Linked DNA regions of Kluyveromyces lactis. The protein of the gene in region 1 purifies or fractionates together with the protein of each later gene. This does not show direct contact. Links are inferred from orthologs where the notes say so. Each region holds a gene or a part of one and is shown on either strand. Other genes may lie near its edges. The genes, in order: PFD1, PAC10 and GIM3.

Region 1 (2,345 bases):
CAGGAGAAAGGTTCGGGTTCTTTAACGGAATCCAGCTGGACCGATGATCAAAATGTGAAACTAGTGTTCTCTGGTCCATTTGGTTGTTTGAAAAAGGGAAATGACAATAAAGATGGCAACGGAGACGACGATAACAATGATAAGGATGGTGATGACTCCGATAAGAAGCCTCACGATGGTGATAAAAATGGATCCAAACCAAAGGGCGGAGCTGGTCTTGGGTCGTGGCTCGTATGGCTATTCATGTATGCAACTATCTTTGCCCTTATTTATCTCGTGGTTACTTCGTATATGAACACTAGAAACGGTTCCTTTAACGATTTCCGGGAAGAGTTCGTTGATAGATCGACTACGTTCGCTACCAATCTCCCACAATTCGCTAAAGAAGTGGCAGGGAAAATCGTAAATAGTGGTTCATCGTCTCAAAGAGGCGGATACAGTGCGGTTTGATCGAATGTACCTCCTCCTTGACGTGCGATGAATAAAGACCACATGTATTCTGAAATAGAGAATTCTTAATGTACAACTATATATAACATTACCACTGCTAAATACTTTAACTCTATTCTATGATGAATACGACTTTTAAGGGTACTATCTTCCCACATTGCTTGACCCATACAAAAACCCCTGTCGATGCCGACTCAGTAGTTGATTTAATTTCCAATGACTCTTCTCAAACTCTCTACCGTGTTATCGACTGTGGTCTGTAGGTAATGTCTCTTTTGTTCCAATGCCTTTATCTGTTCGTCCAATATTCTTTCATCATGGTTTAAATCAGCAGTGTAGGCTTGCTTCTCTTGACGGATGAACATCTTACCACAAGATCTCCACACTTGCTCATTTCCATAATTTCCCAATTCCTTTTCAGTCAACTTAGCAATCTTTTTTTGCCTCTGTAGTTGTTCCAGTTGTGCAAGCGTCATATCCAATTGTGATCTGCTGTTACGAAGAGAATTTGCCATCTCCTTTACTATATCTTGCGGTTGAGAGCTCATTTTGTCAAATTTGTGTAATTGAGTATCAAATTCTTTGCACTATGCCTCACAGATCTAGATTGACTACTGCAAAGCCAGCGTATGACTCTTACATTTCAATAGTTTCCATATCATCATGCTTAAAGCTTTAAATTTCAGATCGTGGAAACTTTATAATTTTATTTTTTGAATCATTATAGTAGTGAATAAGTACAAGATGCCCGAATAGAAATGAAAAAAAGGTTGGACCAAGTTCTCCAAAGCCCTTGGTTCAATTTACATCCAGTGATACTTAACAAGAATTGTTTGCAAATATGTTAAGATTGAGCAGGCCATTTCGTTTGGTTTCGCCAACTGTTTTATCACGAGTCAGATGTTATGCACAAGCTTCTCCATTAGGTGTGGATCACAGTATCGAGAATAATTTACAAACAGAGACTAATAGATTGTCCAAGACTTTGACTAAGTTTTGGGAACAAGTGAGTTTAGAAGAAACCCCCGAAAATGTTACCATTAAATTGGATTCTAAGCCTTTGCGTACTCCTTTGGGGAACCCTTTAACTTTACCACAATCTCGTAAGCTTTTATCGGTTATGGTTCTCAATGAATGGAGTAATCTTCCTAGTTTATCTGTCAAGCCTTATGTTTTACCTTTAACCTCTTTAGTTTCCCGTTGCATTGATTTGGAAAAGGCCAATGAGGACGGTGTAGACCCAGAACTTGTTGCGAAGATAGGTGGGAACAGAGAAAAGTTAACTGAAGGTCTTTTGAGATATTTAGATACTGATACTCTATTAGTGTTTTCTCCAGCAAATGAATACGAAGGTGCGCTAAGAAAGGCTCAAGATGAATTGTATCTACCGATAATTTCCGGTGTCGAAAAGTTCCTATCTCAAATAAATAAAGATAAGAAAGAAGTCAAATTACAAATATTGGACGCTGATTTACATGGATTGAGAGGTAACGCCCAAAGTGGAGAGACCAGAGAAGTAGCTAAACAGTATTTGGATTCTTTATCTGTTTGGGATTTAGCCATTTTCGAGAAGACTGTCCTAACAACAAAATCCTTTATTTGCGGTCTATTATTGCTATTGAATAAATCGGCAACTGTCACAAATATTCCTGAGTTACAAGTTTCCATGGAAGATATTGCAAGAGCAGCTACCCTCGAGACTATTTACCAAGTTGAAAGATGGGGTGAAGTTGAAGATACCCATGATGTCGATAAACGTGATGTAAGAAGAAACATCCATGCAGCTGCGATTGTTGCATTCGGCCCACCAACCTCGTCGAAATAGATGATAACAATCAAGAATAAATTAAAACTATACTTACTGTACATATGATTAATAAAGAAAGTTTATAACT
Region 2 (2,567 bases), on another chromosome or scaffold:
CCCACTACCAGTAATATTGTGTTTGACTCATTTCTACAAACAGTATACACCAAGGTTATACGAATTCAATATAATAATCAACCAACCTTTTCTTCTTCATTCTAACACGATCGTTTGGAAGCTGACAGATCAATTTTTCATCCATGGCCTGTTATTCCTTGCCATGGTAAATCAAGGCGCAACAGGGTTGGTAATCGGACTAATAAGTTGGATTTGTGCTATCTTGATGGATAATGGGCTACTACCAGGTACTGACTCCTTCCAATTGGCGCCTTTCAAAGACAGCTGGAACAGAAGTTCTAGCACATTAAACAGACCAAGCGCAGTTATGACAAACGATATGACATCGGAAGATCTAAATGAGGAAGAGGCCGAAGAACCTCAAGATGAACCTCAGCGCACTTTAGGGGTCCAGTTCTTGGATACTTTTAGAAGGTGAAACACTTTTTGTAGATAATGATAATATTTAAATCTATCAATGCGTTGATTCAATTACATGGTGTATATACATAAATAGGATTTAAAGAAACAGTTCAACCAGAAGAGCCTTCCTTTTTCATCTGCTGCCTCCTTTGAACATCCCAATTGTATAATCTAGCACAATTGACCTCCATAGTCGTGATATTCTCTCTTAGGAACTCCACATCTTGCTGAGATATGTCCAGATTTTGCTTGGCATCTGCTAGCTTTTGAGCTAAAAGCTCAATTGCCTCATCTAGAGGATACTCGAGCATCACATCGGCACCTAACCATAACCCGACCTTTAATTCAGGATCCTTCGGATTGACTGACGCCTTACTAAAAAGCGTTTCATTTAGCTGATAGTTGATCAGCAAGCTGTCATCTTCCTCCTCATCGTCTTCGTCAACCTCTGTCTCTCTCTTTTGCTTCAAAAGCGCACACATATTGAGAGTATTTTCAATATCTGGAATCTTGCTTTTAAGCTGTTTTATGTTTGCTAGTTTAGACTCTTGCATGTACTTATATTTGGATAGATGTTCTTGGAACTTGCTGAAGCACATATCGAAATCCTCAGGACTCTTCACATACTGCTCCACCTTTTCCACGAATGGAGCCTCAGGAATCCCTCTAGGATTTGTCTTTGCAGAATTGAATAGCGTATCCATTATGTTACTTTGTAGTTTTGTTTTGACGTCTCCACGCGGTCCAAGCACATACCAAGCAGCTCTTTCCCCTCAATACTTCAACAATTCTTTGTTTCATTCAAAGTTTGTTTTAATTTGCAAAACTATGGAAGATTAACATTGTTTACATGCAGAAGAATGAAAAGTTAACAAGTAAAGGAAAAGTTGGCATTATCGGAAAAACGAAATCATTAGTTCGGAAACTTCATCAAGTGCTCGGACATATTAGAATTCCTGGTTCCTTAGTTAAAATCAAGTCAGTAAATGTTAGAGAATGAACTCTCGTTCGTTTCTCTCACAAGAGTTTCTTTAAACGTAATTGAGTTGAATATACATGCCAAGGATGCAACAATCGTCAATAATGTGTCGTTTTCTCTTCCAAATGGTCAGCTAATGGCAATTATTGGTGGATCAGGTTCAGGTAAGACTACCATGCTTAATGTTCTAGCAGGCAAAACAAATTCGAGTATAAACTATGATGGGGAAATCCAATACAGTCGAGATGCTGCAAAAGAGGGATCTAAAGCTGACGAGAAGGTAACCACAGCGTACTTGACACAGCATGACGCATTAGCTGCGAGGTTGACATGCAGAGAAACACTTCGTATTGCTGCTGATCTTAAATTACATCTGCCGAAACAAGAAAGATATTCATTAGTAGAAGAGTTGATTGCGGAGTTGGGGTTGAGGGATTGCTCAGAGACGTTCGTAGGTGATTCAATAAACAAAGGACTCTCAGGAGGTGAAAAGAGAAGACTAAGTATAGCAGTACAGATGATTGCAAATCCGTCTGTCTTATTCCTGGATGAACCAACAACTGGGCTTGATGCGTACTCTGCGTTTTTGTTGATAAAAACGTTAAAGAAACTTTGTGAACATGGCGGAAGAACTATTATTATGAGCATTCATCAGCCTCGGTCAGATATACTTTTCGCGTTAGATCAAGTGTGCCTATTATCAAAGGGATTCCCGATGTATTGCGGTGCGGTGGTCGGTATGGTGGAATACTTCTCATCCATGGGATACACCGTCCCTGAAAGGTGCAATCCTGCAGATTACTTGATAGATATCTGTAGCGTAGACAATAGAACTGAAAAGTCGACGCTTGATTCTGAAGGAAGGTGGAATATGTTTGCTTCGGAATGGCAAGAGAGATGTTCTACCAAATATGACACCTCAAAGGAAACAGCGGTTATAAGCGTCGATCCTTCTCCACCATCTGTGTCCATCTTACAACAAACATTCATTTTAACCAAGAGAAATTTTTTACTATCCAGTAGAGATAGGCTGACTCTCTTTGCAGTACAATTTGAGCCAGTTATTGTCGGAATTGTAGTCGGTTGGATTTTCTATAAACCAGACCAAACTTCAGAAAGTGGGCTAAGAACAATCGCCGGCGCATTATATATAGTGGGATCAATT
Region 3 (2,523 bases), on another chromosome or scaffold:
TGATTACCAGTTTTTCCTTCTGCCAAATACTCACTATGAGATATGATATCCATATAAAAGAATAATGAATCATGATATATGAAGGATAAGGGAGATTGTTAGCAAGAACAAAGAATAGAGTAGCAACAGTAATAACAAAGCATTAGCCGCAGATATGAGATTTGCACCTATTTTTATTGGAACGGCGTTGGCCAGTTCGTGTATGTTTAAGGACGGATTTTCTTAACCCTTTTTTTTCCCTTTAATTCTCAACTTTACTAACATCATCATCGTCATCGTCAAATACAGTATCTTCACTTATGGTTATATATCCTGACAGCTTCCAATACTACAATGATTTAGTGAATGTGGCACATGAACTTGATGGGACTATAACGCATGAATATACATTATTCAATGGGTTTAGTTTGGATTTGCCAGAAGAGTTTGTCGCTAAATTCAAGGAAATGAACCAACATTTTAATTGGGGGCTTGAAATAGAAGAAGACCAGGAGGTTCATGCGTTAGGTGGGCTGAAAGAACATGCTGTTTGATTGCATTATGGACTGAATCAACGTTGTGTCGGTCTTTACTATTATTTTCTATGTAGATTTTATACGCAAACATATATTACTCGGTTTAAGGATATTTTTTCAATTCTATCAAGCACTTCAGCAATGTATATTTATGGGCTCAACGTTCCAAATTGATGTTGTCACCGAATTTGGCATACAATATACTCTTTAGCTCTTTTATTCTTGAGTCCAATTCCGCCTCATCGCTCTCTAGCTTTTCTATATTGCTGTCGATGTTTTCAGCATCGGATTCTAACTTTTCAACTACTTCTTTCTGTTTTAGAAATACGAAGACGTCTCCGATCTTATATTGTACCTTCTCATCCTCGTCTATCAATTCAATTTCCAACGATACGTCGTCGAGGTACTCTTTCTCTGTTCTTTGTTGCGTCAAATCTTGTTCGATAGCATCTTTTCTCATGATCAACTTGGAGAACTCATTGATACGTTGTTGATCTTCGTATGCAACGGTGACCGTGTTCTTTTGACCCTCCGGTAGTAATTCCATTTCTAGTTAGTGTGTTGCGTGTAAGATGTGGTAGATGTCTCTGTGTCTACTCATGTCATGTACTGTTTTCATCTGTACTTTTAGCCATTCTTGTTATTTTTTATTCAACTTTTACATACTCTAAAGATTTATCTTGCAAATTACACTACTGACATGCAAAATTATGTCATGCAATTTTACAATTTCATGCTCAAAAGAAAGCAGTTGGGACATATTTCACGGCCCTATCAGGTTTATTGTTTCACGTTGTAATTATGCATTCATATATAAGTATCTAACTTTTGTTTTTATGGTGCAACGTGAGGTTGAAAATTAGCAATTACCAGAAAGAGCTGTAAAACAGACCCCTTCAGTTGTGATACTCTTTGAAGAATCTCTCAACACCTTTACCTAGCCTTTCAGCAGCTGTTTGTAAATGCTCTTCATCTGGAGCCATAGCAAATGTAATTCTTAAAAAGTTGGACCTGTCATATGAAAATTTCTTGTCAACTGCCATTCTGTAACCCAAGATTACAATGCAACCTTCTTCCAACAACTTGTAGTTTAAGAAATTCATGGCCTTTAATTTATCCGAGATTTCTCCGAACTTATCAAAATTGATCTTGATACTAATGAACATACCGGCAGAGGGTTCAATCAATTCAAATAATTCTTCTTTATAAGCTGGTGTAGCTTCCAATGCTTGGAAAAGCACATTTCTTCTATGTGTATACTCACCAGCAACTTTCATGACCCATGATAGCCAAGCTCTGACCTTGTCTCCATTGAAATTTTCTGCCCATTTGTCTATTATATTAATGGTCATAGCTTGGGCAAGACCACATGGCGATCTAACAGAAATGTCTGCATATTTCAATAACTTGTCTAGGATAAATTTATTGGCGACAATGAAGGAAAGACGCATCCCAGGGGCGAAGACTTTGGAGAAAGTTTCTAATCTAATGACTCTCCCTGATGTGTCTATGGTCAAATATGAGGGGGCTAATATTTCTTTACAATATTTATCGAAAGTGATAGTGCCATCGTTATATTGATTCTTTAATGGATCAGACTTGTCAAAGGGTAAAAACTTTAGGTAACCATACGGATCATCTTCCACAATTATAATGTCATGTTTTTCGCATAGATCGTATATTTTCTGTCTCTTCTCTTTGCATTGTGTCATACCGGTTGGATTTTGCCCTGTGACGATTGTGTATAACAGTCTAGGCTTAGATAAGTGAGAATATTCACCTGTTGACCAATTCTCAAGCAATTGGTCCATATACTCGACGTTAATACCCTGCTGAGAAGCATCATCCGTGATATCAACTTTCAATGGAATCGGAATCCCACCATTTGCAGTGACGTTGGAGATAGTCGGAGTGAAAGTAAATTCTTCCATTAACACGGTAACGTCTTCATCTGTTAAAGTGGTGAAAACTTTAGATAAAGAATCAGAAGATCCATTTGCTAACATAA

The links.
Region 2: the proteins of PFD1 (region 1) and PAC10 purify together in Saccharomyces cerevisiae (affinity purification with mass spectrometry; 3 studies listed by BioGRID). This does not show direct contact. The link is inferred for Kluyveromyces lactis from reciprocal best matches to the Saccharomyces cerevisiae genes PFD1 and PAC10.
Region 3: the proteins of PFD1 (region 1) and GIM3 purify together in Saccharomyces cerevisiae (affinity purification with mass spectrometry; 3 studies listed by BioGRID). This does not show direct contact. The link is inferred for Kluyveromyces lactis from reciprocal best matches to the Saccharomyces cerevisiae genes PFD1 and GIM3.

Annotation. Positions count from the first base shown.
Region 1 is NC_006037.1:573,125-575,469, reverse strand, and holds PFD1 (prefolding complex chaperone subunit), read right to left. Parts: upstream 999-2,345; coding exon 657-998; downstream 1-656. Other genes in the region: ATG27 (Atg27p), read left to right, coding at 1-450; ATP synthase complex assembly protein ATP12, read left to right, coding at 1,292-2,275. UniProt on the Saccharomyces cerevisiae protein: Binds specifically to cytosolic chaperonin (c-CPN) and transfers target proteins to it. Binds to nascent polypeptide chain and promotes folding in an environment in which there are many competing pathways for nonnative proteins.
Region 2 is NC_006039.1:412,147-414,713, reverse strand, and holds PAC10 (tubulin-binding prefolding complex subunit PAC10), read right to left. Parts: upstream 1,128-2,567; coding exon 534-1,127; downstream 1-533. Other genes in the region: DSC2 (Dsc2p), read left to right, coding at 1-439; KLLA0_C04477g (uncharacterized protein), read left to right, coding at 1,410-2,567. UniProt on the Saccharomyces cerevisiae protein: Binds specifically to cytosolic chaperonin (c-CPN) and transfers target proteins to it. Binds to nascent polypeptide chain and promotes folding in an environment in which there are many competing pathways for nonnative proteins.
Region 3 is NC_006040.1:948,729-951,251, reverse strand, and holds GIM3 (tubulin-binding prefolding complex subunit GIM3), read right to left. Parts: upstream 1,063-2,523; coding exon 673-1,062; downstream 1-672. Other genes in the region: KLLA0_D11143g (uncharacterized protein), read left to right, coding at 155-200, 289-533; ARO9 (aromatic-amino-acid:2-oxoglutarate transaminase), read right to left, coding at 1,412-2,523. UniProt on the Saccharomyces cerevisiae protein: Binds specifically to cytosolic chaperonin (c-CPN) and transfers target proteins to it. Binds to nascent polypeptide chain and promotes folding in an environment in which there are many competing pathways for nonnative proteins.